Linked DNA regions of Drosophila melanogaster. The protein of the gene in region 1 interacts with the protein of each later gene in a pairwise test. Each region holds a gene or a part of one and is shown on either strand. Other genes may lie near its edges. The genes, in order: CG4577 and Pgant3.

What was found.
Region 2: the proteins of CG4577 (region 1) and Pgant3 interact in a two-hybrid assay, tested with the Drosophila melanogaster proteins (one large-scale study listed by BioGRID).

Annotation. Positions count from the first base shown.
Region 1 is NT_033779.5:1,127,365-1,144,339, reverse strand, and holds CG4577 (uncharacterized protein), read right to left. Parts: upstream 9,648-16,975; 5' UTR 9,482-9,647; coding exon 9,259-9,481; intron 5,720-9,258; coding exon 5,273-5,719; intron 5,217-5,272; coding exon 4,955-5,216; intron 4,858-4,954; coding exon 4,577-4,857; intron 4,512-4,576; coding exon 4,384-4,511; 3' UTR 3,184-4,383; downstream 1-3,183. Other genes in the region: MFS3 (major facilitator superfamily transporter 3), read right to left, coding at 930-969; iris, read left to right, coding at 10,267-11,862; TBC1D23 (TBC1 domain family member 23), read right to left, coding at 12,387-13,076, 13,159-14,521, 14,835-14,851; Pino (pinocchio), read left to right, coding at 15,995-16,211.
Region 2 is NT_033778.4:7,053,403-7,063,530, reverse strand, and holds Pgant3 (polypeptide N-Acetylgalactosaminyltransferase 3), read left to right. Parts: upstream 1-1,798; 5' UTR 1,799-2,174; coding exon 2,175-2,308; intron 2,309-2,614; coding exon 2,615-2,715; intron 2,716-3,067; coding exon 3,068-3,248; intron 3,249-3,307; coding exon 3,308-3,474; intron 3,475-3,895; coding exon 3,896-5,154; intron 5,155-5,211; coding exon 5,212-5,373; 3' UTR 5,374-5,877; downstream 5,878-10,128. Other genes in the region: Tsp42Eq (tetraspanin 42Eq), read left to right, coding at 33-92, 163-336, 414-566, 750-947, 1,003-1,077; Tsp42Ep (tetraspanin 42Ep), read left to right, coding at 5,996-6,055, 6,115-6,288, 6,358-6,717, 6,785-6,943; Tsp42Eo (tetraspanin 42Eo), read right to left, coding at 7,024-7,095, 7,279-7,476, 7,539-7,694, 7,756-7,929, 8,595-8,654; Tsp42En (tetraspanin 42En), read right to left, coding at 9,612-9,683, 9,810-10,004, 10,075-10,128. UniProt on the Drosophila melanogaster protein: Catalyzes the initial reaction in O-linked oligosaccharide biosynthesis, the transfer of an N-acetyl-D-galactosamine residue to a serine or threonine residue on the protein receptor.

The DNA.
Region 1 (16,975 bases):
GTGGTGGTAAATCTCAAGTGCTTGGGTTAATCTATATAGGGCTAAAATAAGATCGCTCCTAACAACGCTTTCATTTAACATGGTCATAAGAAATATTCCTGTTTATAATTCATAGCATTCTTAATGTATTCCTTTGAGATCTTTGTGGGAAAGAAATGATTCAGTTCATCACTGTGATAGTCATACAATAATATTTTCAAATAAACAATAAATAATTCATGAAATACGATAAACAATATTTCACAAATATGATGCAATATAAACATTGCAGAGTAAAGAAATGTCATTTGTTAATAGTTAACTTTGTGGAATTATGTACTTTCTTGTAACTTTAGTATTGTGGAATTTGGAAATTTTAAAATCAACTTTTAAAGTAACCCCTTTGAGAAACTTATTTGAAAACGCCGAGTGAGATTTTCGCGTGGATTGTTTAAAGTAAACACTATTATTTACCCGATTCAAAAGCTTGGCAAACTTTCGCCGTTTTTGTTGGGATAGGTAGACGAATTTCAAGAATGTCGCGTTTGTTTGGGATACGCATACAAATTGGTCATATTTTCGCCTGCCAATATTGTTTATATCTATGACTTCCATTTGACCTTGTCCGGACATTAGTACCCGGGCATATAAACGCCAAAAACAAATCAAATATGCCGCGTGGCGTGGGCGGCGTCTAAAAAAAGCCACAGCAACATAAAAACCTAAAGGATGTGGCACACACACACACGTACGCACTGGGGGAACAAGGAAGATTTCTGGAACTCACGCACACGAACGACCTTTTGGAGGTCAAACTTGTATCTTGTATCCCCAGAGTGCCTTCAGCCCACCCACTTGTTGCACTGCTGCACCACCGCCGCATGATGCATGATGCACTCCAGTGGTGCAATCTCGAAACAGATGCTTCGAATGTCCAAGCCACAACTTACTGCCCAATATGCTGCCTTTGGCGGGCACTTCGTCCGTCATCTTTGGGGCTTCCGGGGATATATAGGCCTTACTGCGGCTGCCGAATGCTAATATCTTCTTTAAACAGATTGAGATATATTCTCAGGCGACGAAACCAAACCGAACCGAAACGAAACGAATCCGAAATCGAAGTCCACGTGCGATTGCCTCGAAAGTTGCTCACCAACTGAAGCGGCTAGCTGGAATACTCTTTGATTTTGTGCGTCGTTCCCAAAAAAAAAAAAACGAAATTCTCGTTTCGCGTCGGTGTGCGTGTGTATGTACTTGTGGTGGTGGTGGGTCCCGAGTTTTGGGATCTTGTTCTCCGCTGCCGAAACGCCGAGTAATTTGGCCTGCCTGTCGTTTGGCGCGTATCTTTATCTTGGTGGCTTCGTTTCTGGGGGTTCGGAAATGGTTTGTCACAAGCCCGAAACCCGATGATGATATTCCCCCATCCAGACCACAAAGTCAAATGCCTGGTTCAACACGCGCCACACCCGTCGTTCAATTTCATGTGCCTCGCATTCAATTGCATCGTAGATGCCTCAGATACCTTGGGTTCGTGTCCCCGCTGAGGTTGCTGTCCTGGGCAAGTTGGCTTTTTCGAATGCGCCCACGCATAAATTTGACTTGGCCAGCATATCAATGGCATGTTTGCGTGTTTGAGCCAATTTCGAAAGACTCTCGAATGGAGGAGAAACAGCCATTCAAACGGCTAACTTATGAGCCATCTCATCCGAATTTTAATTCAATCCTGATCGGTTTTTGGGGCTCTTTGAAATGAAGTACTTTAAATATGAAGTTACTTTCTACCTGCAAGTCATTTGAATGCATTATATAATCTTCTGGCCTTAGTCAGATATACACGATATAATTCCGTCTACAGGTGGACATATAAAGCGGTTATTAAACATGCAAAACGCGTGCATGAAATTAGTATAAATTTCGGGAGATGATCCCGATACACAATGGCCCATCAAATGTATCAAATATATAAATATATTTACAAAATGTTGCCGCATCTGTGTAGTTTTTGGAATGAATCGAAGTGAATTCCCTATTTGGCTGCCTAATTAACGCCAAACTCAAAACATCTGCAGCAGATTGATCTCATGATGAGAGGTGCGAAATCGTGCTGCCCGTGGGGGAATCTCTAAAACAAATGCTTGCCATTCCCGTGAGCAGTTAACATTAGTTATATTCATATTCATAATAAATTAACTTTAAACGTATTCATTAAAGACTGCTCCTGGCCTCGTTGCCCAGCTTGTTTATCTTCCTGGTCATTTGCTGATGAGATATGCAAATGGCCACCTCGAATCCCTGCCAGAATCTTCAGGCTCCAATGCTCCTGCACACACTCCATACATATTAATGCTTATTTAGATTCCCCGCCATATGGCAACAATTTGGCATACAAAAGGCATAACACTTTGTAACTTAGTCTGAATTTAGTATAAAGTGTCCATGCAACTTGCATTCAATGCAGGTTAGATTGCAGCACATTGATAACTGCTATGATGTGCATGCCGTAGTCATTAGAATAATAATATAAAAAAAAAAAACAGAGCCCCTTGTGTCAAACGCATTTGTGTATCTGGAGCCCAATGTTTTGTTTATTTGGCTTACTGTTTACGGCCATTCTATTCAATTGTTTATGGCCATTTCGAGCTAAGTTTGGACAAAGTTGGATCTCATCTGGCGTCCGGAGCAGAGCATGCTTCCCCATTTGCAGTGGCCACAATGGCGCTGCTTCACGGTTATCTAGTTTTCCACTCATTCACCGGACATGCAGCACTTTAATGTGGCTTCGCATGGAACATTGATGATGAAACCCATCCGAATGGCGATGGATGTCAACGCGTGTGCGAAGGCCAATTGGTTTTTATTTAATTTTTGGCACACACTTCGCTCGAGAGGCCCCAGAAGTCTAGCTGTTGTTAATTGGTCTTCATTGAATTGTCTCCCAATTTCAAATTAGTTAACTTTCCTTTCAAACTTTCGTTGGCGGCTGGCAACCGAGCGTGGAAGTGGAAAATGATTTTTATGACTTTTTCATTGAGCGGCGGTTACTGCGCAGCTGAATATACAAATTCCCCTAATTGTAACTTGATGTAAGCTTTGAATTGACACATTTCTAAGATTCGATATGGGTGGGAAAAAACAACCCACTTTCATTGAATTTTCTGCCATTGAGCACAGCCAATTGGTTTTCAGGTCAAAAAACTCCCAGTTCATCCAATTTTGATTGGTTTTCAAACCAAAGACGTATTTATTAATCGTAAATCAGTTGATTGTAAATAAATGTATCTTCAAACTAAGTTCACGCAAAGAACTTAAGGCGTAAATCAAAGGCCAAATATTCAGAGGGAAAGTATATAATATTAAGGTTACTTGAGTGTTCATATATATAGTTATATATAATCTGTATTGTATACACACACACATATATATATACGCTATTTTATTTTAGTCTGTATAATATAATTTATTTTACCATATTCATAGTACACATATGTATGTATATTTGATTATTACCGAAAACAGTCAGACAATTTTATTCAAATTAAAAATACGCCTCTTCGTCGTCGGCATAGAATATTTAAAATATTTATGCCCTGAGCCATTTCTTAACAAATTTATCCACAAATTGTTTGCATATTGTATACGTATATTTATATATATATATATATAATTTACCAACATATTAGCTGCGATACTCGCTAAATACGATTAAAATTCTCATCAATTGTCAGATCGTTTGTCCCCAAGTCGGCGGGGTTACATAAAAAGTGTAGTTCGGAATGTGATGGCATTCAAAATACTTGGCTTTGGCTTTAGCTTTAGTTAGTATAAGTTTAGATTAAATTAAAGCGGTTAGTGGAGCTTTTGTCGCTTCTGAGCTCGATTAGGATTGATATATGCATGTATAGATGTATTCATATTTTTATATATAATCATATTCATAGTTGACGTTCTTCTCTCGTTTTGTACTAGTCGGGAAGCCTCTAGTTCGATAAGTAGATACAGATACAAGTTGCGGTTCCGCTGGATTTCAGATTGCAGTAGTTGTACATAGACACCGATTTCTTACAGGGATTAGGTGGCGTAGATATAGATTCGGTTTAGTTCGGTGCGGATTCCGTGGGACAAAATCCTAGACACTGATTGATTATGCTCCTGACGCACCACATTGCATGCAACAATAGTTTAATTCTCGCCATTGGGTTTTTTGAAAGTGAAATTCTACACAAAAATTGCACACGAGTTGACCTTGACACTAGCTCTTTATCATAATTGAATTAGAAATTGAATTTGGATTTTGGTTTCTTGGATTATGTTCAATATGTTCAATGCTCAAAAAAACGAGAAATACTCTTCGTGGGGCCTGTGGCTATCATTAAGTACTACGTAGACTATCTCCGCGTGGGATCCTTAGAAGTACTTCTCGCCATTGTAGCCGGATCCGCGCTCCGCCACCGGTTCGTTCATGAATTGGCTCTGGTTCACCGAGCGCTTCTTCTTGGCCACCATGTAGCGCTGCTTCGAGGAGCCGAATCCTGCTGGATAATTGAAAGTTATAGAACACGAACCTCCGACTCTTGCTGCCAACCCAATCGGGACTTACGGCTATTGACTCCGCTGTACTTGTGCTGACGCGGCACGTACTCGTACTTGGGCATCGCCTGGTTCTGGTTGTCCAGCGGCACTCCGGCGCCGTAGTAGTCCGCCTGTACGGGCACGTCGAACCAGCTGCCGGCGGGCGCGTAGTCCAGGTCATCGGAGGGTATCATGGGCACCGGTCCGGAGCTCTCAGCATCGCTCTCCTTGCGCGCCCGTTCTCCGGCCTCCACCAGGGCAACCAGGGCCAGCATGTCGGCGGGATTGAGCTGGGTGTCGCGTTTAAGTCTGGGATTGGAGCAAAGAATACAAAAGGTTACCCCTTAGTAATAGTTGTTATGTATGTAAAATATCACTCATACGCCGTGTTGCTTTACTAACTCACCGCATGTCGTTGAATCGTCGATATTTGTTGAGGTTGATACCCTCGTCGTTGTAGCCACTTCCACTGCCCAGGCTGCTCGCCCCATTGCCGCCGGGAGTGCCCACGTTGTAGTAGATACCCCGCTTGTTGCGCTCATCCACGTTGTAGTTCCGATTGGCATAGGTCAGCGGCACCGAGAGGGGAATGCTCTCCAGATAGGCCTCGGCGTTCAGGAGATTCTGCAAATTGTCGTAGGCCTTGTTTCGCGCACTCGAGCTACTCACTGGAATTTAAGTTTTTTGTTAGTTAGCAATGGATGTGCCACGCTCTTGGACGCACCTCTTCGCTCTGGCACGTAGTCATCGATCTCCTGGAGATCCCGCTCGCCATAGCTGACAGGAACGGCGGCCTCGTAGTCGTCGGACCAAACGCCACTGGGCACATCGCTGCCGTAGTCGCTGGAGGCGACGGAGTACGGATTGTACTCGTAATTGATGCCCCGCTTGCGCATCGTGGAGCTGGCCACCGCCTCCTCCAGGGCGGAGGGCTCCTCCTGCAACTGCTGTTGGCTGTTCTGGGCGGCGGCCGCTACGGCGGCCAGGATCTCCTCGTTGGAGGGCAGGGCGTAGACTCCGGACGGCACCTGCTGCTGCTCCTGCTGCTGGCTGGAGACCGGAACTGGGCTGTTTCGGGCCGACGGAGCGTTGCTAAAGGAAGCGGGCACAATTTCCGGACTCGACTTCTTGTCCGCCGTGGGCACGGCACTCGCCTCCTCGGAGCGTTTGGCTGGTGAACGAGATGGGGAATGGGTAACGCCGGCTGCTGCTGTCCGGGCTACTCGAATTTTCCATTTCCAACTTGCCATTTCCCACTTTCCATTTACCATTTACCCGGGGCTGATTCAATAAATTCCCAACATCCCCACAGCCGAGAAGTGACCGCAAAACCAATTAGCCGCCGTCCGCAGAACGAGTACCATAATTGTTTTATACGCCCGAGCATATTTCTCGGTCTGGGCTAATTGCTTTTAGCGCCCTGACAGCCGGCTTTATGTCCACTTAATCCCCGATGTAATACCCAGAGGAGGAGGACTGACCTTATTAATCCTAATCGCATTGCCGCCCCACTGGCATCCAATCGAAAAAAAAGGGTCTTTGCGCAACAGTTGGTTCGCTAATTGGACGGCTGAATTGGCTTTAATATCTCGGATCGGTTGATATCTTTAATTGAGCGCTGGCCGCCGCCAATTAGGATTCAGTTAGCACCTGACATGAGTCCTCCTCATGGGCATGCGGTTATTTCAACTGCCCCATCCATCCAATCCCGAGTTCAGATGGACCAGCCAAACTCGTTCAACTCCCCTGCGCAGTGGATTTGTATGAGGTATTTCGCAGGTTTCTGCGAATATCTATACCAGTATCTATAGCTTATCTCCATGATTATTGGAACTGAGATATCGCATATAGAGTGGAATGGAGTAGATACCCGCATAGCCATGATTTATACGACCCCAATGATTAATGTGTTATTAGGGTGTGCCAATTGAAAGGGCCAGGTGGTATAATATCCGGCTATCAGGAAATGGGCTCCCATAAAATGACTAGCGGTTCGCATCGAATGGGAAATGAATGTTTCGAAGTGTGTACTTAACTTACTTTGCAGGTGACTATTTAGTTTTAGACACCACTATCGTAACTAAAAACGAATTATTTTGATACCTTAAAGCTATTTTGATATGATTACTTTCAAAGTGATGACTAACATGTTGCGTGGAAACACAAGTTCCTTCCGAGAAACAGTATGTCCCCTGGTGCAACTCTAGTCGAGCTGTAAAATTCCACATTCTCTGAATGTGGATACGCTTTTATGGAGCGCCCGTAACCCAGTTTGCGATTCCCCAGAGTCCTTGGGACAGACGACAATTCCTGAAACCCGCTGGCTAAACGCTTCCCCGTATTGGCAGTCATTTAATGCCCACAATGCTCATGTTTCGCCTCCATGACGCCCACGCCACCGCCTCAATTATATTTATGTGTGGCAAATGTCCTGCTCACGGATGTCCATCAGCCCGGATGGGTGCTCCTCGGGTGGGGTACTTGAATAAATAAATGAGTAGAAAGCTGGCAGGCTCTGACGTTGGCTGACGTCGTCCTGGGTCTCTACTCTACCAGGCTGTTCACTGAACTGCAAAAGTATCAACAAGTTGTTTGCTCCCCACACACACACACACACACACACATGCGCAGAGATTGGGGGCTGGTGGGTGGCTCTTGGCCAGCAGCTGTTCGAAAAGTCGGGCCACCACAGACAGCGCGACATGAACATGGGAATGTGGACACGAACATGAACACAATTAACGCCACGGCCAAGTCCTTGGGCGTTTCTTTCGGCCCCGCACAGAAATAACTTAATAGCCGCAGCATATGGAAAAATTTGTCAAGCGCAGGAAAATGCGCTGGGAGCCTGTGGTTTCGGGATTGGGTGTGCCAACTGGAGTGCTCACCCTTCCCTCCTGACTACTTCATCGCCAGGCGAAGGAAGGAAAAGGCGAGGGGTCAGCAGGCACTGCTCTCATAAATATTTAATGCGCCCACTTGACTGCTGCTGCGTGGATTAATCCGTGGGGTGGACCCTGTTTTCACTTTGCACTACCGACAGCTGGACACTTGGCGGCGACAGCCTGTTTGCCTTTGTCATTAGGTTGCCATATGTGGCTCTGTAAACACGTAGAAAGGGGCGGGGGCGCCATTCCGCCCACATTGGGGCATAATAAATCTATTTAGAGCGAACTGTGCTGGGGCAAAAATCTGTTAGTGGCGCTGCCTGGAAGTATGCTACAAAAATGTGCGATGGAGAGCTTATCGCTCTCGAAAACATCTAATCCCTAGAGATTTGTTTCTTACCCAAAGGCAAATTTTGTATCTATAAACTTACATTAGAACATTGAAAGATTTGAAAGTATGCAGCGAAATGTTAAAATTTAAATTTGAACTTGTCCACCCCAATCACATGCTTCCTTCCCCTTTTCTGGGCACCTGCCCTTTACATTTTGATGTGGTTGCCGCTGGCTTTTGGCAACTGACATCTGACCAAAGCCCCGCTACTTTTGGCCTTAGTTGCTGCTGCGGTTTGGAGCGCTAACGAACGTGTTGCACACACGGACGCGTATTTATACTCGGAATGGATCGGAAAGGCTTAACAGCTTGAGCTTGGCTGCCTACTTAAGGGCTCAATGCTGCGGTGAAAGTGGGGGCGGCAATGGGTGGCACTTGCCACCCAAGATGTGGTGAATGGCGATGGCGATGGCGTAAGGCGATGCTAGGCGAACGGCGCCAGGCGAGCAGAAAGTGCAGGAGGAGCGGAAGGGGCGCAAAAGGGGCTGAAAACTTTCGCCTAACTCGCTTTCTAAAAATAGAAATGAAATCGCGCGCACGTACGCACACTTTAACAGCATGGAGGCCCCCCCACTCACATACACGCACACACGTACTCACACACACTCACAAAGGAGGCTGGCCGCCATTTTGTGTGGCGAACGCCTACGCGATGTTTAACTGCGCTGTAGGTTCCCGTGTGCTTGTGTTGGTGAGCGCTGAGCTACATATATGAACAGTGTAACTGCACTGGGAGAAATCGTGGAGCTGTATATACAGAATACCATATGTTTCTTTAGAGTTGTTGAAAGAAAAGGCAACATTGTGCTTTAAGCCGCAGCTTGATATATGTATATATGTTTCGTGAATATTTTGGCAGAAATTTGATTATTATATATATATGTATATAATTTAATATAATTTATATAATCATTTTTTTGTTGAAACTTTAATTTAAAGACTTAAAACTTATTTTATTTGATAGTTTTCTTTCAAGAGTGCATATAGCTACCCACTTACTCAGAAAAGTCATTGGTAGTTTTCTCGCTGTGCAGGCACAGTAATGATTCACTAAGCCAGTGCAAGAAAAACAACCGCAGGATGGAAATTTATAAATCGCTCATGGAGCGCGGCATTCAAAAGGACGACAGCTGTCGTCCTCGCGCAAAACACCTACGCAATTTCCTGGCAGAAACAGCGAACGACGAGCGGTAAATGGGAAATGGAATATGCTAAACGAGATGAGCTCCGAGATGGAGCCACTCGAGCGGATGCCCGACCCTCAAAAGCCAGCAGCCAGCCAACCCACGCAGACGACGAGCTGGAGGCTGGAGGCACAGCCTTCTCGGGCCGGGCATTTTTCAAAAACTCGCATTTTCCCAGTGACCTTTAGCCTTAAGAGTGGGCGTGGGCGGAGCTGCTGCTCCACCTGTACTGAACTTTGGCACTTACCTGTGGCCGGCTGTTGCTGCTGCTGCTGCTGCTGGAGCTGCTGCTGCTGGTGATGCTGCTGCTGCTGTTGCTGCTGCTGCTGGAGCTTGTGGTTGGCGCTGGTGGAGAGCTCCGTGTCTTGGGCGAGCACGGAGGTGGGCACCGCCCGGATTGGAAGGCTGAGGCACAGGATCAGTGCCAGGACTACCAGCAGGCTGCTGCCGGGCAACGAGATGCGTGGCATGTTTACGGCAAACGGCACTTGACTTGGCTCTAGCTGGTGGTGTCCCAAATAGGATTCGGATCTGGCTGGAGGTGGGAGGTCGACTTCGACTCCTGGCCTGGTTTCTGCCGGTGTTTGGATCCCAGTGGTCTGCGCACTTCGACTGTTCTGAATGAACTGACGTCCCAGCGACGCAGTGCAACAGTTTTTAACGTATTGCCCCGATTCCGTGCCGTTGGCCGTTGGCTTGCAGACCACATTAAAGTGCCACCCAACTCCTCCACTCGCCGACCGAATCCCGTCCGGTCTGCACACAACCTACGTCACTCTCATTGATAAAGACCGCGGAGCTCGGAGGAGCCTGCTTACGTACTTGCCTGGCGAGGCAGCGAGCCAATCCTCTACTGCGCCGGCGCCGGATCTGCAAAGAGCTGCGTTACTGCCAGGTCGCATCGGTGGGCCTCTGTGGTGCTGGTTATGCCGCTATGACACTGGTTGTTATGTAAATTCACTATATTAGTACTCAATGCACTTGACTAGTGTAAAATGTATAATAAATATGGATGGCTTATGTTATATTTGTATATTATATATTTATATTATATTTATTTGAAAGCTAATTCTGGCTAATTGCCTCACTTGCAAATATTTAAAAATTTATATTGCGCACAATGATCCGATCATTTTGCTATATCAGCAATTGAACATACATATGGACATGCACTACCGCTTGCTACCCGATTCTCAGGAGCTCACCTTCAGTTTAGCGCGGAACTCTGGGCAACGATCACCTCTACAAGCGAAAGATGAAAGCGATTAGTTTGGTATTCATCCTCGCCCCCTCGCTGATAGCGCTCTCCCATGGAAGCCCAGTTGATCGGGAGGCGATCGGAGGTCCGATGGCGATGCGGGGATTCAACAACAGTCTGGGCACCTTCGTGGAGTACAGCGGTCAGGCATCGCTAGCCTCCAGAGATTGGAAGTTATGTGCCAGCTTCAACTTGGAGTCGCTTTATACGGCAATACGTGCGTTCAATGGTGTCTACAAGGCTTTGGTCGATGTGTGCGATATCCAAAGGAATCTTTGTCCAGAAATTCTGGACATTACCAAGTTTGCGGATAGTATTCTTCACGATGGACTAATTGACTTGGAGAAAGCGTTGGACTTTAGGGCCGGACGACTTTCTTTGGGAGATGACGACGTGTCCATCGAGCTTGGGATGGGAACATCCTGCATTGACAGCTCCATTAATGTTATAAATGTGATACTTCAAGAACCCTTTCACGAGGCTTATGAACCTGAAAACCTGATTATGATGAAGCCGTATCTATACCTTATGGGCAGCAGACTAAAAAGTGCCCAGAATGCCATAACTGAAGCCATAATCTCTGCCCACCACGGAAAGCTTAGTCCTCTTGTCCTTTCAATGAAACAGCTGCAAGCGAAGATGCCGCCAATTCTGGGAGATCTGGATGGCCGATATACAATCCGGAATATTTACCTTCTCGCCTCCGTAGTTCCTCGGCAGCGGGGCAACCACGTGGAGTTCCAAATCACAGTGCCCTTGCTCGATGCGGAGAAGTTTAATATCTACCGATTGACGCCCATTCCACGGTTAAACAATGGCGTAATCCAACTGGTGGACACCGAAACACCTTATCTGGGCATCAACGATCATATGGACAGGTATTTTCCGCTTCAGAGCTTGGACGACTGCATCAAGTTGGGCGAAGAAAGGTTCATCTGCAGGCGCAACCGCATTATCTACGGGACTGGGGATGACAGTTTTGCCTGCTCCCTGGCGGCCATACGGAACCAGTCTTCCGAAGTCTGCACCTTGCGTCAAGTGAAGGAGAAGAGTCTGTGGACAGAGATGGTGGCACCAAACTCCTGGATGGTGGCCCTTACCAATGAGCTAACTTTAATAGGAGTGTGCTCCGGTGAGAGGCAGGAGCTCCAATTGAATGGCAGTGGAATCCTGAGCATTCAAAGCGACTGTGCCGTGCGCAGTCCAGCTGTCGCCCTCCGTGGAGAAGTCCGGGAAAGAGTTCCTTCGAAAGCAGGTTACGCAACGCTGCAGAAGGAACCAAAATCTTCCCAGGAATCCGTGACCTTGGAATCATTTAATCAACTCCTGGCGATCGTGGGCAAACTGGAGCTGAATCAGAAAAAGCTGGAAGCAGTCCGAGATTACCCAATGGTAGTCGTAGTAGTAGTAGCTGTGTGCGCAGCCATATTGCTGGTCGCCTTACTTGTTTCGGCGACCTGGTTATATCGCACCCATCGGAGCAAACAACTTGCGCAGGCTCAAAATCTTGTCAACGAAGTCAATGGTCTCCAGGATCCACAGAATCGCACCACAACCTGCAATCTTCCGCTGCTGGAAAAACATGAAATCTAAAAAAAAAAGAAGATGCGGCTGCGTGGTGCATCTGTTAAGTTCCGATGAAATTTCAAAGAGAGCTATGATTTTTTAACAATTTTTTGTGTCGATTATAATACAGTTTTATTTGTTTGGTTTGATTGCAATAAATATTAGTTACTCTCATCATGTACACGTTGTAAGTCTCAGGGCTTCGGTAAGGGTTCCTTATTCGCACTTAGAAATTTAGAAAATTGGGATCGGGGGCGTGGCATGCTCGGGATGGCCATGTGATCTGGGACTACGTTCGACTATTTTCTTCAAATCCGGTCTCTGCACCGAGTGCACTATGTTACAATTGCAGCCAGCGCTTCGTTTACAATAAGAACTATACTATTTCAGCTAATACAAGGAAAACAATGCCAATTACAAACTATTACACCGCTCGCAGCGGCGCATTGCACTTTGTGTCTCTGATTTTTGTATCAGTGGCCGTTCATGAAATAAAGCTTGATGCGGAAAGGCGGAAACAAGAAGAGCATGCGGCGGTTGTCCGGTTTATCCTACTTGGCGTCGTCAAGCACCTGCACGATGAGCCTTGAAATCAGTGCCGTAACTTCGGCCGCATTTGGTATGAGGAAGCGGTCCATGTCGGTTATGAGCAGACCATCGCCATCGGGGAATCCGTACTTGAACGTGATGAGGTCGCGGTGTCGCTTCTTGGCCGTGATCTTCACGATGCTCGCCAGCGGGCGACGCACCATTATCTGCGCCTGGCCGCGTCCCAGTTCCCGCAGCACCACCAGTTGCCCGGGCGTGATGATCAAATGACTGTCGTACATGTAGCCGCTCATGTGCACCTCCTGGCACTTGAAGGCGTTGATGATGTCCGCCGTCTTGAAGTACTGGTTCAGATTCACGATCTCCTTGCCGTCGCTGGTCAGCGGTGCGTCATCCCGCTCCCCCGCCCCGTCCAAGGCATCCTCGTTCTCATCGTCGATGCTGAACACAGGTGCCACATTGCGGTAGCGCTTGCCGTTCCGCTCCTTTGCACTAACATGGCGCTCTTGCACCGGCGCCGATGGCACACCATTGGTGCCGCTAGCCGTGGCTCCGCCATTTGCACTGGGATTCACGATAATGTCTAGTAGTTTGCCCTTGACCTCGGCAGACTTTGACTTCATGGCGGCGGAGAACTTGCTGAATAGGTCTGTAGAGGATGGCGTCGAAGTCTTAAGCGGCGCTGATTTAGTCTGCAGGAGCGGAATTGAGAAATTATAAGTATACTAATTCGATTCAAAGTATTGTACATTTCCTGAGTTATCGAAGTCTTACCTGCTGCGCGTTGTGCTGCTGGCAGACGAGGCACTTGCGCGCATTGTGATCCTCCAGGCAATCGGCCATTTGATCGCCGAAGTAGTCGTGGATGGAGGCGTAGCCACCGGTCAGCAGCGACACGTAGTGGGTGTTCTTCTGCAGGAACGAGGCCACCACCATGTGTGTGTACTGGTCCTCTTCGACGCGACCGCTGCCCATGAAGCACAGATGCTCGCCGCCGGCGTTCGAGTTGGCCTCGATGGCCTGCCGCTGGGCGGTCAGGAGGCCCTGGACGGCGGTGGCAAAGGCGACAGGTTCCTGGAGCATGAGGTTGCAGTCCAGATGGAATGCCGTGGACAGGTGGCCGGCGTTGTATTGCTCGGCCGGGCGGCAGTCAACGAGAAAGAAACGCACTGCATCCGGCACAGGAAACTCTGTGGCCGAGTTCTCTACCAGCTCGTAAACGGAGACGGGCAGGCACAGGGCCTGTGATACCTTGTTTGCCTCCTCCTGGCTGCGCGGTGTATCATTCTGCTTGCCGTACAGCGCCTTCAGATAGTCCGTCTTGAAGGAAGTTGGTGTCTTGAGCGCGTAGTACTGGGCCAGGGAGCAAAAGTCGGGGACGTCGTCGAACTCCAGGGCGCACGGCATAAGGCTCAGGAACTTGATGATCTCCTCCTTGGACGAGCTCCTCATCTGCAGGATCTGCTCCCTGCCGTTGATCAAGATTATTAGCGCCAGGAAGAAGACCATGAAGGGATCGGCGTTCTGAAAGTACAGGTCCCACATGGCAATGATCACTGACAGGCTGCTGCAGGAGGCGAAAAGCGACTGGAACCAGGTCAGCGAGTACAAGTCGGGCGTGATCTTCTTGGTGTCCAGCAGCGTGCACAGCTCCGGATCGTGGTAAAGCAGGAGCAGTCGGAAGACATGAAAGACATTGCCCTTGGGCCGGCAACCCTTGGGTATGTACGTGTCTCGTATGGACTCGAACAGGTTGAATGTGTCGGAGCGATTCAGCTTCAGGGCGAACAGCGGGAGCAGCAATTCAATCCATCCGTTGTCCGGCTCATACTGAAGGTTTCTGTTCTTGCAGTAGAAGGTGATGATGGACTCGAGGTCGGATACCACCGAGACCTTGTCCTCCTCATCGTTGCCCATGCGATCGACGTGCCGCTGGCAATCCTCGCGCAGTTGGCTTTGGAAGGGCAGGTCGTAGATCTCGTTGAAGAGCGACATTTGATCCGATTTGTGGCGCACATCCAGGCACACTTGCCACACGTCCGGACGCAGTGCCTCCGGCAGAGCCTTGCCCTGGCATATGCCGTAGATGTCGTTGACAGTGCAGTCGTCCAGCAGTGCCGACTCCAGCTCAATGATCCTGCATACAAGAGAGGGATGTCCATCACAATCAGTTGCTTGGTACTTGTTCTGCTCATGCTACGGGTGAAGGGGACGTCAACGTGTCTAAATAACCAGCTGCTGATAAGGCGGAGCACCCACACCCCCAGGTGCTCCGCGTCCCGCTGGCCCAGCACCAAGCTGCTGACTCAATCAGCGAAACAAATGGTGGTCTGTTCGAGAAAGCCAAAGGCGATGGATGCCAAAGAAAATGAGGTGCTGGAGCTGAATCTCTAGACTCTCTGACTAATCTTAGTTGTTGACGTAGCCCCAACCCAATGTTTATTATTTACCACATATTCTCCTCCATGATTTCGCTGTGGGCTAGTTCCTACGTTTCGGATTCGAAATGCTGCCTTAGTGCAATCTATTCAGCTGCAGAAGGCCAGGCTGGTGCATTTTCTTTCTGTTCCAGGTGCGAATAATGATTTTTGTGATATTCCAAATTTATTTTGATCGAATTTTGGTTACGTTATGATGGTTACGTTTATAGCGATGGGAGGTGCTTACGTCTGCCACGGCGCACGTTAGAGATGGCAGTGTGCATATGAACTAACAATACAATTGTATTAAGATATTTGTAATAAATCGTTAAAAATGATTACAAACTTGATACTTGTCAGAATGCTAAAATTTGAGATAACAAATTAGAAAATAAATTTAAGTTATATTGTTATATATATATAAGGTTATTCAGCGGGATCTAAGCAAACTATCTATATTATTTTCATATTACAGGTATCAAAAGAGAATAGAAAATTTTAGTTTGTTCATTTGAACATTGAAGTTGAAATGCATAACGCTTTCTGTCCTATCGATTAGTGTTGCCAACTACGATAATCGACAGCTGACCACCTCTAGTTGCCAGCAATTTTGCAAGCAAAGTTTTGTTTTGCCTGAATTTTATCCAAATTTAACTTAAAATTCGGTTGCGTTGGCCTAAATTTGGATACTTAACTTCAAGCTGGTCGACTGAGCGTGCTGCTAGTATAAAGGTGAGTGAGCTTAGAGGCCAGCACACGTAACACAGATTTTAGGCATTTCCATGCAAACACACATGTATGGAGACCAAACAAAATTTGCAAAAGCAATAACAGCAACAAATACACGAAGCGAATGCAATTGCTCACTCATGCATGCAAACACACACTCACACACATGTAGCCTTCACCCAAATAAAATTTAGCTTGCATCTATTGATTTGCATGTTGCACTTGTGCAAAGAAGTGTTGTAAGAAGTGCGGGGAGGGGTAAGCGTGCAACAGCTGTGTGCCTGCTCCCCTCCCCCTTGACTGTGTTATCAACCACCCCCCCACCCCCCTTTATCCAAACACTTGGCCAATCAACACAAGCTGCGCTTTAAGCCACGTGTGTACTTTTTGCTGTTTGCATGCCAGCACGTATCTGCTTAGCCAAGGAATCCTCTAATTGCGTTTCTCTTACCCTTATGGAGATGAAAACGGGCAGCAACAACAACCACATCTCCGCCAGCAGCAGCAGCAGCAACAACAACAACAACAGCTCATTGGTGCAACAGCAGCAGCAACGCTCCACCACTTCCGTTTCCGTCTCCTCGTCTCACATTGTCACCGAGTGGGAGGATGGCATCATTTTCGATGTGGACGATCCCGACTTTTGCAATCTGGCCACCGACAAGCTGAACTTCATAGGTGAGTGCGCCATAGCGAGTTCGTACATATAATTAGCCACCCGATTATATTTATAGTCTAGACATCGGAGTAATCTATGTTATTTACGATTAGCCGTAGCGAAGCCCACTAATTGAGCAGCGGAAAACGCTAGTCGCACCTTTGTACTAGCTGCATCGGCTTATCGCCAAGTGGTTTTCCCGTCTCTTGGAGTCCCGGCTTTTGTCCGATCGGGCGGAAACTGCCGTACACTTTTATTAATGCCCATACACTCCGGCTTTATCTTCGAATGGCATTGATAGTGGGTCGGTCGCCTATAAGCAGGGGCCATCAATTTTACAATCCCGGAATAGCCAACACTCTGTCTTCCCCAAAGAGTTCCATTTAAAATTAGTACCATTCCGTGCTGTTTTTAGCACGTACCCGTACGCATCCCACGAAAATTGGCCGATCCATCAATTACCATTCGAAATGGATGAGAGAGTGGGCTCCCAGTGGGGCTAATTGTTTTGCCCGTTTGCCCGTTTATCTGCCATCTGATTAGACGTACAAGCGGGTCGTGCGACTAGCCTATTCACACGTTTCGCTTGTCACCCAGAACTCAGAACGCCCAATTCACGCGTTTGTCATGTGACTGCGGATCGGATCGAAGCGAATCGGACAAGCCTCTCCAGCCGATCATGCCTCTCCTTCGCTTCATCGGCTGCGGAATGGGTGCCAAAAGAGTGTGCAAACATTTCCGATGGCCCGGCAGTTCAAGTGGAATTTTTCCCCAATTTTGGTAA
Region 2 (10,128 bases), on another chromosome or scaffold:
ACCGACATCAAGACACCTGAAAATCCACCAAAATGAGCTGCGGCACGAAGGCATTGAAGGTGTCCTCCTTCGTTTTGGACTTTCTGTGCTGTGTGAGTTGTTATCACCAAATCGCCAACTGATAGTATATTGTTATATGCCTCCTCTCTCTATCACTCATAGGTTCTGGCGGCACTGACCATCGCGGCTTGCTCCTATGCCCTGATTGCTTTTAGCCACAGCGTAGCCATCCGGGTGCCCAGCATCCTGGGCATCGTCCTGGGCGGCCTGCTGTTCTTCAGCACGATCTTCGGCTGCATTGCTGCCCTGCGGGAGAGTATTCGCATGACCTGGATCGTGAGTAGCGCTCTATCTAGTACCTAGTGGCCAGGTGACCTCCAATATTAACTCGACCGTCTTGCTTCGCCCAAAAGTATGCCGCAATACTGCTGGCCCTGGTTTTCAGTCAGATCACCGTCATCTTGGCCCAACCCATCAACTATGAGCTGCTGGCCAACGAGACCATTTACGACGCCTGGCAGGGACAACTTTACCACTCGGACAGAATGTCCTACTTTGAGATCAAGGTGAGCTATGTAGGGATCCTTGGAACCTTCTCCATATATAGCAGACATGAGTTCCATTTTCACTTTCTCGGAAAAGGCATTAGGAAAATGGTATCAGTTGGCTTTTTTTTTGAAATTTTATCGAAATCATTTCGCAAGCTTGTTATCTTTGTTTAACCAAGTACTAAACGGCTTTTCTTTTAGTATCACTGCTGCGGACAGACGGGGCCCGCAAACTATCCGGATAGTGGCCTGGTGATTCCGCAAAGCTGCTACTTCAACCAGAACGCCACGGTGACTACGGATCTCTATACGGTTGGGTGTAACCATCAGTTGGCAGCGGCCTTCGTCAAGGGAACTCGCTGGGAGAAGATCACGGATTGGTCCGTTGTGGGTGTGGAGGTAACTGAATCCGATCACTTGCGATCCTTCAACTCATATTCCAAATGCTCCTCAGATACTCACTGTCATCATCGCCGGACTCCTGGCTATAACCTTACAGAATGCCGAGCGCCGCCGTCTTTACCGATAAAAGCTGGCCTTAAGTTTCTACCAAAAGTATTAGAACTGTACGAATGTGAAAGTGTTCCTAATTATATGAGGGAGTAGTTGCCAAAACATGAATACATTAAATTGGTAACGTTAATATATTTCAACCGTATTTAAATTGCTCAATACAAAATTTCAGAATGTATGCAAGCACTTTTATAAAATTAGTCACACTTAAACCGATTCGTGGTACATTTGGAATGTTGTGTCGCTTTCGACGTCTGGGTCTAAGCTGTTTTTATGTGCAATACTATGTATAAGAAAAGTATGATTATATATTTAACAAGTCTATGAAGCTTATTAAGAAAATAAACAATTTAATGCTTAGTATATTTCAAGTTGCAGTTAGGTTAAATTTGCTTAACAGACTTAAATTTGCATAAGATTTAAAATCGATATCAATGCGCGCCGATACATTTCTTTTTCACCACAGCTATCGAGCCAGTGAAAACAGCTGCTTGCTCACAAGTGCTGCTACGGTGCTGCTAAAATATTTTAAAATTAAACACACGACTCACATCTCATTTCATTTGTACACAAAGAAAAATATCGCAGAACAAGTCTATGTTAAGCGTTTAAATAATGTGCATATAATTAAAACATGTTTTACCTACCATACCGAAGCACCTTATTGAGGCGAACAAACTCTTGATCCATCTGGAAAATAGCCAGACTTACAGCGCTTCTGGTTTCGAACTACTGGTTCCGTGAACTGTTGTCAAAAGTAATGAAATGCTGGAGAAAGCAGTAGAATGATAAGTTTAGGCCGTATTTGCACAATTACTGAGTAACTAGTGACAGCCGAACAAGCGCCATGTATTCATAAGCACCTGCCGCGCACCTGCCAATTCGAATTTAAAGCGGCCCCGGAGCAGAAGCGACGCATTTCTTCGCCGAGCGTCCGCAGAGTCGTCGGATCGGATCGGATCGGTTTGGATTGGATTGGTGACTAAAACAGTTGGACAACAACAGCGGCTTGATTAGTTGGCAGTAAACAGAGCTACCGAACGCACCGGTCATTCACTCCGCACCGTTTTGACCAGAAGCAGTTCCAGTATTGGTAGCCAATAAGCCACAGCAATGGGTCTCCGGTTCCAGCAGCTGAAGAAGCTCTGGCTGCTCTACCTTTTCCTGCTCTTCTTCGCGTTCTTCATGTTCGCCATCAGCATCAACCTGTACGTGGCCAGCATCCAGGGCGGGGACGCGGAGATGCGGTGAGTAGTTGGCCCGGTAATTAACAATGGGCCCATTAGGACGCGCCGCTCGGATTGCACAACTTCCCCTGGGGCCCAAATGGGTTGCAAAATGCAAGTGTTCCAGTCGAGTGCCTCGCCTCCGCGTTTTTTAGCTTCGATTGCCGAGGCACTTTGCATTCGATTTGGGTCTTGGGTCTCTGTTTGTTTTGACATCGCTTCGCGTGATTCGATGGGCCATTGTAAATGCTAAGTCTTAATATCGCTCCATTGTCACATCTTGGCTCATTTGGCTATTGTGGATCACTATGCCGATTTCCCGCACAGTCATCCGAAACCGCCGCCCAAGCGCCGCTCCCTCTGGCCGCACAAAAACATCGTGGCCCACTACATCGGCAAGGGAGACATCTTTGGCAACATGACAGCAGGTGAGTGAGATGGTTCCACCTAATCATCATCAGTTAAGATTGGTCATTGGGGTAATAAAACAGTTTATTTGTCTTTTATCATTCCCAGTTACCCTTAGTCATCAATAATAGACAGTGCCATTAAATGGCATTTCATTTTACCCTCTGCACAATTGGTTTAGGTGCTCGGGAAATATTTAAGACTTCTTTAATTACCTTAGTATCATTTTACTTTCGACGCATTAGGGAAGAACTGACGAACTTTGTTTTGAAACTACAACCTTAGTTGCACCATCGTTGATGGAAAATACCTAAAGAGAGTTTCCCTCAAATGACACAACATCAAAATGCATTAATCCCCACTCGCTTGCAGATGATTACAACATCAACCTGTTCCAGCCCATCAACGGAGAAGGTGCCGATGGGCGACCAGTTGTGGTGCCGCCTCGCGATCGCTTTCGCATGCAGCGCTTTTTCCGGCTAAACAGCTTCAACCTGCTGGCCAGCGACCGCATCCCACTGAACCGCACCCTCAAGGACTACCGCACACCTGAGCAAGTATAAGCCTTAGCTTACTGAGAACCTTTTCTAATGCATTTCTTCTCCTGCGCAGATGCCGCGACAAGAAGTACGCCAGCGGTCTACCCAGCACGTCGGTTATAATTGTTTTCCACAACGAGGCCTGGTCCGTGCTCCTGCGAACCATCACCAGCGTCATCAACCGGTCGCCGCGCCACCTGCTTAAGGAAATTATCCTGGTGGACGATGCCAGCGATCGCTGTAAGTCTGCATAGTATAATCAACGTATATTCCGAGAATTCCATCTGTGTGCAATAGTATTGTCGACCTTGGGCGAAGCTTCTTAATTTTGTATTACCTAAAGGACATTTGGTTCTATTGCCTGCGTACTATTCCCGCGAATGGTTTCAGTCTACTCCACCAAACGAAACTCCTAAGAATGCAATATATTTAATTTGTAAAACATAGTTTTGGGATGATTCACAATATTTGTTTCTTATCTTGAAAACGGTCAGTGTATAAGTTTACGTTGATTCATTAAAAGTAAATTCTTTGTCTAACATGCTAGAAAGTTAAAACTACGAAGTAATAAAAGAATCGTAACTCTTGGAATTTACATATAAATGACATACATTATGCGTATCTGTATATAAAACTTTCCTAATCAAATGTTCTTCCAAAGCATATTTAAAACGTCAACTGGAGAGCTATGTGAAAGTGCTGGCGGTACCCACGAGGATCTTTCGCATGAAGAAGCGAAGTGGCTTAGTGCCTGCCCGCCTTTTGGGAGCCGAAAATGCTCGCGGCGATGTGCTGACCTTCCTCGACGCCCACTGCGAGTGCTCGCGGGGATGGCTGGAACCACTTCTTTCCCGCATTAAGGAATCACGCAAGGTGGTAATCTGCCCGGTAATCGACATAATATCCGATGACAACTTTAGCTACACAAAAACCTTCGAGAACCACTGGGGCGCTTTCAACTGGCAGCTGAGCTTCCGTTGGTTCTCCTCGGATCGTAAGCGGCAGACAGCGGGCAACAGCTCCAAGGATAGCACTGACCCGATTGCCACTCCCGGAATGGCCGGCGGATTGTTTGCTATCGATCGCAAGTACTTTTACGAAATGGGATCCTACGACAGCAACATGCGCGTTTGGGGCGGCGAGAATGTGGAAATGTCCTTCCGCATTTGGCAGTGCGGCGGTCGTGTGGAGATCAGTCCCTGCTCGCACGTGGGTCACGTGTTCCGCAGCAGCACGCCCTACACCTTCCCCGGCGGCATGAGCGAGGTTCTCACGGATAATTTGGCCAGGGCCGCCACCGTCTGGATGGACGATTGGCAGTACTTTATAATGCTGTACACCTCTGGACTGACGCTGGGAGCCAAGGACAAGGTGAATGTTACGGAGCGTGTGGCGCTCAGGGAGAGGCTCCAGTGCAAACCGTTCTCCTGGTATCTGGAGAACATATGGCCAGAGCACTTCTTTCCAGCTCCCGACCGCTTTTTCGGCAAGATCATATGGCTGGACGGGGAGACAGAATGTGCCCAGGCCTACAGCAAGCACATGAAGAACCTACCAGGTCGTGCTTTGTCACGAGAGTGGAAGCGAGCGTTCGAGGAAATCGACAGCAAGGCGGAGGAGCTGATGGCGCTGATCGATCTGGAGCGGGACAAGTGCCTTCGCCCCCTCAAAGAGGATGTGCCGCGCTCATCATTGTCTGCAGTAACCGTAGGCGATTGCACATCTCACGCCCAGTCGATGGATATGTTTGTAATAACTCCGAAGGGCCAGATCATGACTAACGACAACGTCTGCCTGACCTATCGACAGCAAAAGCTGGGTGTGATCAAGATGCTAAAGAACCGCAACGCCACCACTTCGAATGTAATGCTGGCGCAGTGCGCTTCCGACTCGAGTCAGTTGTGGACCTACGACATGGATGTAAGTGTATCACAGCTACGATAATTGCATTAGTGCTAAAAATGTATTCCTCCACAGACTCAGCAAATATCTCATAGGGACACAAAGCTCTGCCTTACTCTGAAAGCGGCGACTAACTCGCGTCTCCAAAAGGTCGAGAAGGTTGTGCTCAGTATGGAATGCGACTTCAAAGACATCACACAGAAGTGGGGCTTCATACCACTGCCATGGCGCATGTAGAGAGTAGGATGTCATGCCGGTGCCAGGACATTTAATCCAATAACCCTGCCAGCAACTTTTTAACGCAATGTGATATTTATTGAAATTGTTTTAACGAAATTCACTCGTTAATTTGTTTATGTGAACAGTAACCAACCCACAAGCACACGAACTTCAGACACCTGCAGTCCTGTTGTCTAACAAAGCCTGATTTCACTGTCGCAATTTAATATTTAACTGCGCGTAAACATGAGCAGCAGCAACATATGTGTGACAGTGGAACCAGTCTTTACCAAACAATCGTACACCGATACAGACCCACTTGAATTGTTTTTAAAACACACTAACCGAATGCGTGGGAGAGCTTTTCTCCCCCCACGCATTGCGACTCTATCAATCTAGATAGCATAGTGGTATGCTATATCTACGTCATATTTATTAAGAAGAGTTAGAAAATTTTTAGCTGTACTTACTAACCTCGACCTTAATTTTTATATCACTTGAATAAAGCAATCGAATGTAGAGAAAGCTTCGTTGCAATCTGTTTCTCTTTCCCTGACTTCTTATCGCTGGCCCCTGGGAAAGGTCGCAATGCACTCGCTTTAAATTTGGCGCATCTGCCGCAGATTACACCACTCTCGCGATGAACGGCTGCTATAACACAATAAAGTACACGGGCCTGCTCTCAAATCTGCTCTATATGGTAAGTCGTACTCTTGCAACTTACTCTGGGTAAATTGTTTATAATCGTTGGCGTTGCAGCTACTCGGCATAGGAGTGATGTCTGGAGCAGGACTAGGACTGCAGATGGCGGAGCCCAATACGCCAGAGCACACTTATTTCGTGAAGAGCTTGGTCTTGGGTGGCTCCATTTGCATGATCGTGATGTTCGGATGCTATGGCATGGTCGCCAACTTGCTTTGTGTCAATCTGATTGTAAGCGAAAGGAAAGAGCGAATCCTGAATATGGATTACTATCCATAACTAACTGAACTCTCCCCACAGTTCACCATGTTCATACTGATCGCTCTGGCAGCGGAGTACCTTCAGCTGCACCACTATCACAGTCCGTCCCTCAGGAGCCCGGGTGGCGCCTGGCAGCAACTGGAATTAGCTTGGCATGGCCTGGACAGAGACCCCGAGCTCATGCACCAGTACGAGGCCTCCCAGCACTGCTGCGGCTACAATGGTGCCGACGATTACAAGCGCCTGCATCTGCTGGTGCCGGCGAGTTGTTATCAGGCCGCTGTTAATGACACCGCCCAGCAGATCTATCCAAGCGGCTGCCTCGAGACGTTGAACCGCAGCCAGCGGTACATCCAGCACCGCGATAAGCTCTACATGTGGGCCATCGTTGGCCTTGAGGTGGGAAATTGACTTGCGGCTGAAGTGCAGTTTCTCGAATAATCATCCATCTCTTCACTCGCCGCAGATCTTCATACTGCTGCAAACTGTGGCGCTGAGTGTGCTGCTCTTTCGACTACGACAGCGGCAGCGCATCGCACGAAGACAGGTGCCGCCAGGTGTGCGGCGGGAACCGCGCTCCAACCATGTGTCCGCCTCTCGTGCGCACCTACTGAACGACGCCTGAGCTACCATTAAGATCTTATGAAAACTTTGGTTTATTATTTATCCAAGTGGCAAGTGCTTATCTATAAATGTCATTCGTGGTTAGTAGGTGTAGCGACGAGTCTTGTTGGTCAGCTGGCAGCACAAGGTGATACCCAAGATGATGCCTACGACCTGTAATAAAAGAAACAAAGTGTTGCATTAAACATTTAATGCCTGTCAGTTCTCAATCATTTTGTTCGACAAGTGCTACTAGAGACTTGCAAATTCGAGGTTAATAGCTTTCCATTTTCAAATGTACATATATCATAGCTACATTTTGCTAATAAGTCTTGCAGGTCTGAAAGCTTTGCCCACCTCGTAGCCAATAAGTCCGCAGTGGACCCATTTCTCGTATCGGTAGATCTGCAGATAAGCCCGCTTCACGGCAGCCATGCAGCCCTCCCCATACGGATACAAGGCGTGAATGCCGTCCTTGGTGTGGAAACAGCTGCGAGGCACCTTCATGTTGAGGCTCGTGTAGTCGGAGAATCCCTTGTCGCCACAGCACTCGTACTGGAAAAGGGGAAAGAGGGCATTTAAGGATCGTAGCATGATCGCTCTGGGGAAGGACCCACCTCCTGCTGCAAGTCTTGCATGGCGCCGTGATGGACCAGCTCCTTCATCCAGAGATCCATCACGTACACCTCAGTGGCGTCCAGCTGTTTGGTCTCATTGTAGTGGGACACCTTCCAGATGTGCGAGGCTATCAGAGCCAGAAGCAGAATCAAGTTCTAAAAGCCGAGGCATTGGAAGTGCTCATCAATCGACAAACCATCTGTTCTGGCTACTTACCACCACCATCACCTTGATGGAACCGAATATGGCACCCAGGCAACCGACCAGTCCGGCCAAGATCAGAGCACCTGCCATTCCCAGTTGGACGAACTTCTCTGTGTGCTCCGCAGAGCCCTCGTTGAACTTATCCAGCTCATAGACGCCGGCCAGGGCCGCAAGGACGCCGACGATCTGGATCGGTATTAAAATTATGAATTATGCCTGCGCACATTAAGCGTTTGTTAATGGCCCATGAAATGGGCAAACAAAATCTTCAGAGACAAACTTTCGGCTCGTGGGATACGTCATCGGGTAGCGAGAACAACCAAAATAAAAACAAACCGGGCGCAAAAATAAATTAAATTACTTTGGGCTTTATTTTTAAATGGCACATACACAGTTTCCTTTCTTGTTGCTGTCGCTTCGATTGTGCCGAAAATGCGACTGGCCAACAAAAGTGGGCAGAACGAGAGCCGCCAAGTGACATCTTGTCTGGTGGAAATGGAAATTTTGAATGAGATTTGTTTGCTGCCAAATTGGCCAGCTACTCGGCCCGTCCAGTAAGAAATTACAAGCGGCAATGAAAAATGGACAAGAATGAAAGACACTTTATGATCGTGCTTTGACAGACTGCCAGCGGCGAGTTAATTTTGAATCGTGATTTCCATCAGCAAGTGCTTTTATTACTCATACGCAGTGTGTGACTCAAGAACAGTTGCACTGAAATTATCAAGGAACAGTGACAATGAATAAATGCTTGGCCTGTGGCTTGCGTTTCCCAGTGGCGATCATGGAAAGTTTATGTCGGCTAATGATGCGTAATACTAACGCGTTTTCCCACAAGATATCCTCCTTACCAACGTCAGCGTACTGAAGACAACCGAGGTCCATTGTAGGCACACGCGAACCGTGGGCATTTTTTACTTGCGATGCAGTTTTTTCTGTTTCTTTATTTTTGATCAATCTTATTCAGCGCTCATCCGAGCAGCGACTCCAGGCAGCGGACGCGTTTCCCGGGAAAATTCGCTTTCCACTCTCGACCGTCTGTGCGTGGCGGTGACCGAACCGTTAGTGCCGTCGGACATCGGTCGGGGCCAAAATAAAGCAAGACCCGAAAAAGCGCTAAGAAGCTGCGAACTGTTTACAAATCCGCCGAGTGGCCGTCCGTGTCCGCATCCGTGTCCGTCTCGGTCTCCGTTTCGGCGTTTCGTGTGCCGGTCGTTACTCAGGAGACCGGCGTTCACCAGACCTCAATGGCACCCCGCCCCATCCGCCCGACACTGAGAGAAACACATTATAATTACGCCTATAAAAATTTAAGATTTATTGTATAGATGCCTTATAACTTTGAAATAAGTTTAAATAACTGACCGAAATTTACCCAGTGATTGTACTAGATATTTTTATTTCAATAGAAATGGGTAACTTAACTTAACAACAGGTCAAGAATCTTCTAGCAGATCGGGTGAAATTATCAGTATATATATGTTACTGTCGTATAGCATATCTCCTCGTACTCCCATTAGCTGTGGAAGGGGTATCTCATAGTCGAAAAATCGAATGCCTAGAGCCTATTATAGTTATTTTTCTTTTAAAACGGAATTCTTTTCATATGTAGAAGATATTCTTTGAGTGCACCCAATGTTTTCGTATATTTTTATACGCATCTTTATAGGCAACATACATCTACTTAGCAGGCCCGCCGAAATTCCGCATATAGTGGGCACAAACAACACTTATTGAATATTATGATTTTGGTTTATTTTTTATTCTACGCTTCTGTTGCCTCCAGATCATCTTAAACTGCTATAAAAATCCATAGATATCGGATTATGCGTTGCCAACACCCGATTTCGATGATTCCAAGCGACCTGTTAGAATCTTTCGCGCCGCAATTTATTGCGCACCGTGATGCCCAAGTGGGTTGCGGCTCCCAGGGCGGCGAACTGTGTGGAGAGAACGGAAAATTCGATTAGAGCCCAGCGTCTGAGTGTGGCATCTATTTATGCACCGCCCTTGGCCAGCCAAGCCCTCGGAAATATGTGGCCAAGGCCGGCATGGAATCTACATACCTCCACCAGAAGCAGCAGCCACTTGATGATGAGTCCGATGGCCACGTTGTCCGTGGCATGCGCCTGCACGGCCTGCAGGCAGCCCCCGGAGAAGAGGCTGTACTCGCGCCGCTCCTGATCCTTGTAGCAGCTCAAGGGTATACCCCGTCCCATCAGGATGTAGTCATGGGCGCCCAACTGGCCGCAGCAGGAGTACTGGGAAGGAATGAAATTGGTCGTGATGACCCGCAAATAGCAATATACTAATCCCAAGTATTGGACTTACCTTTTGCTCAAGGAGCGATATGCGCTCCACATTGGTCCTTTGATCAGCCCAGGT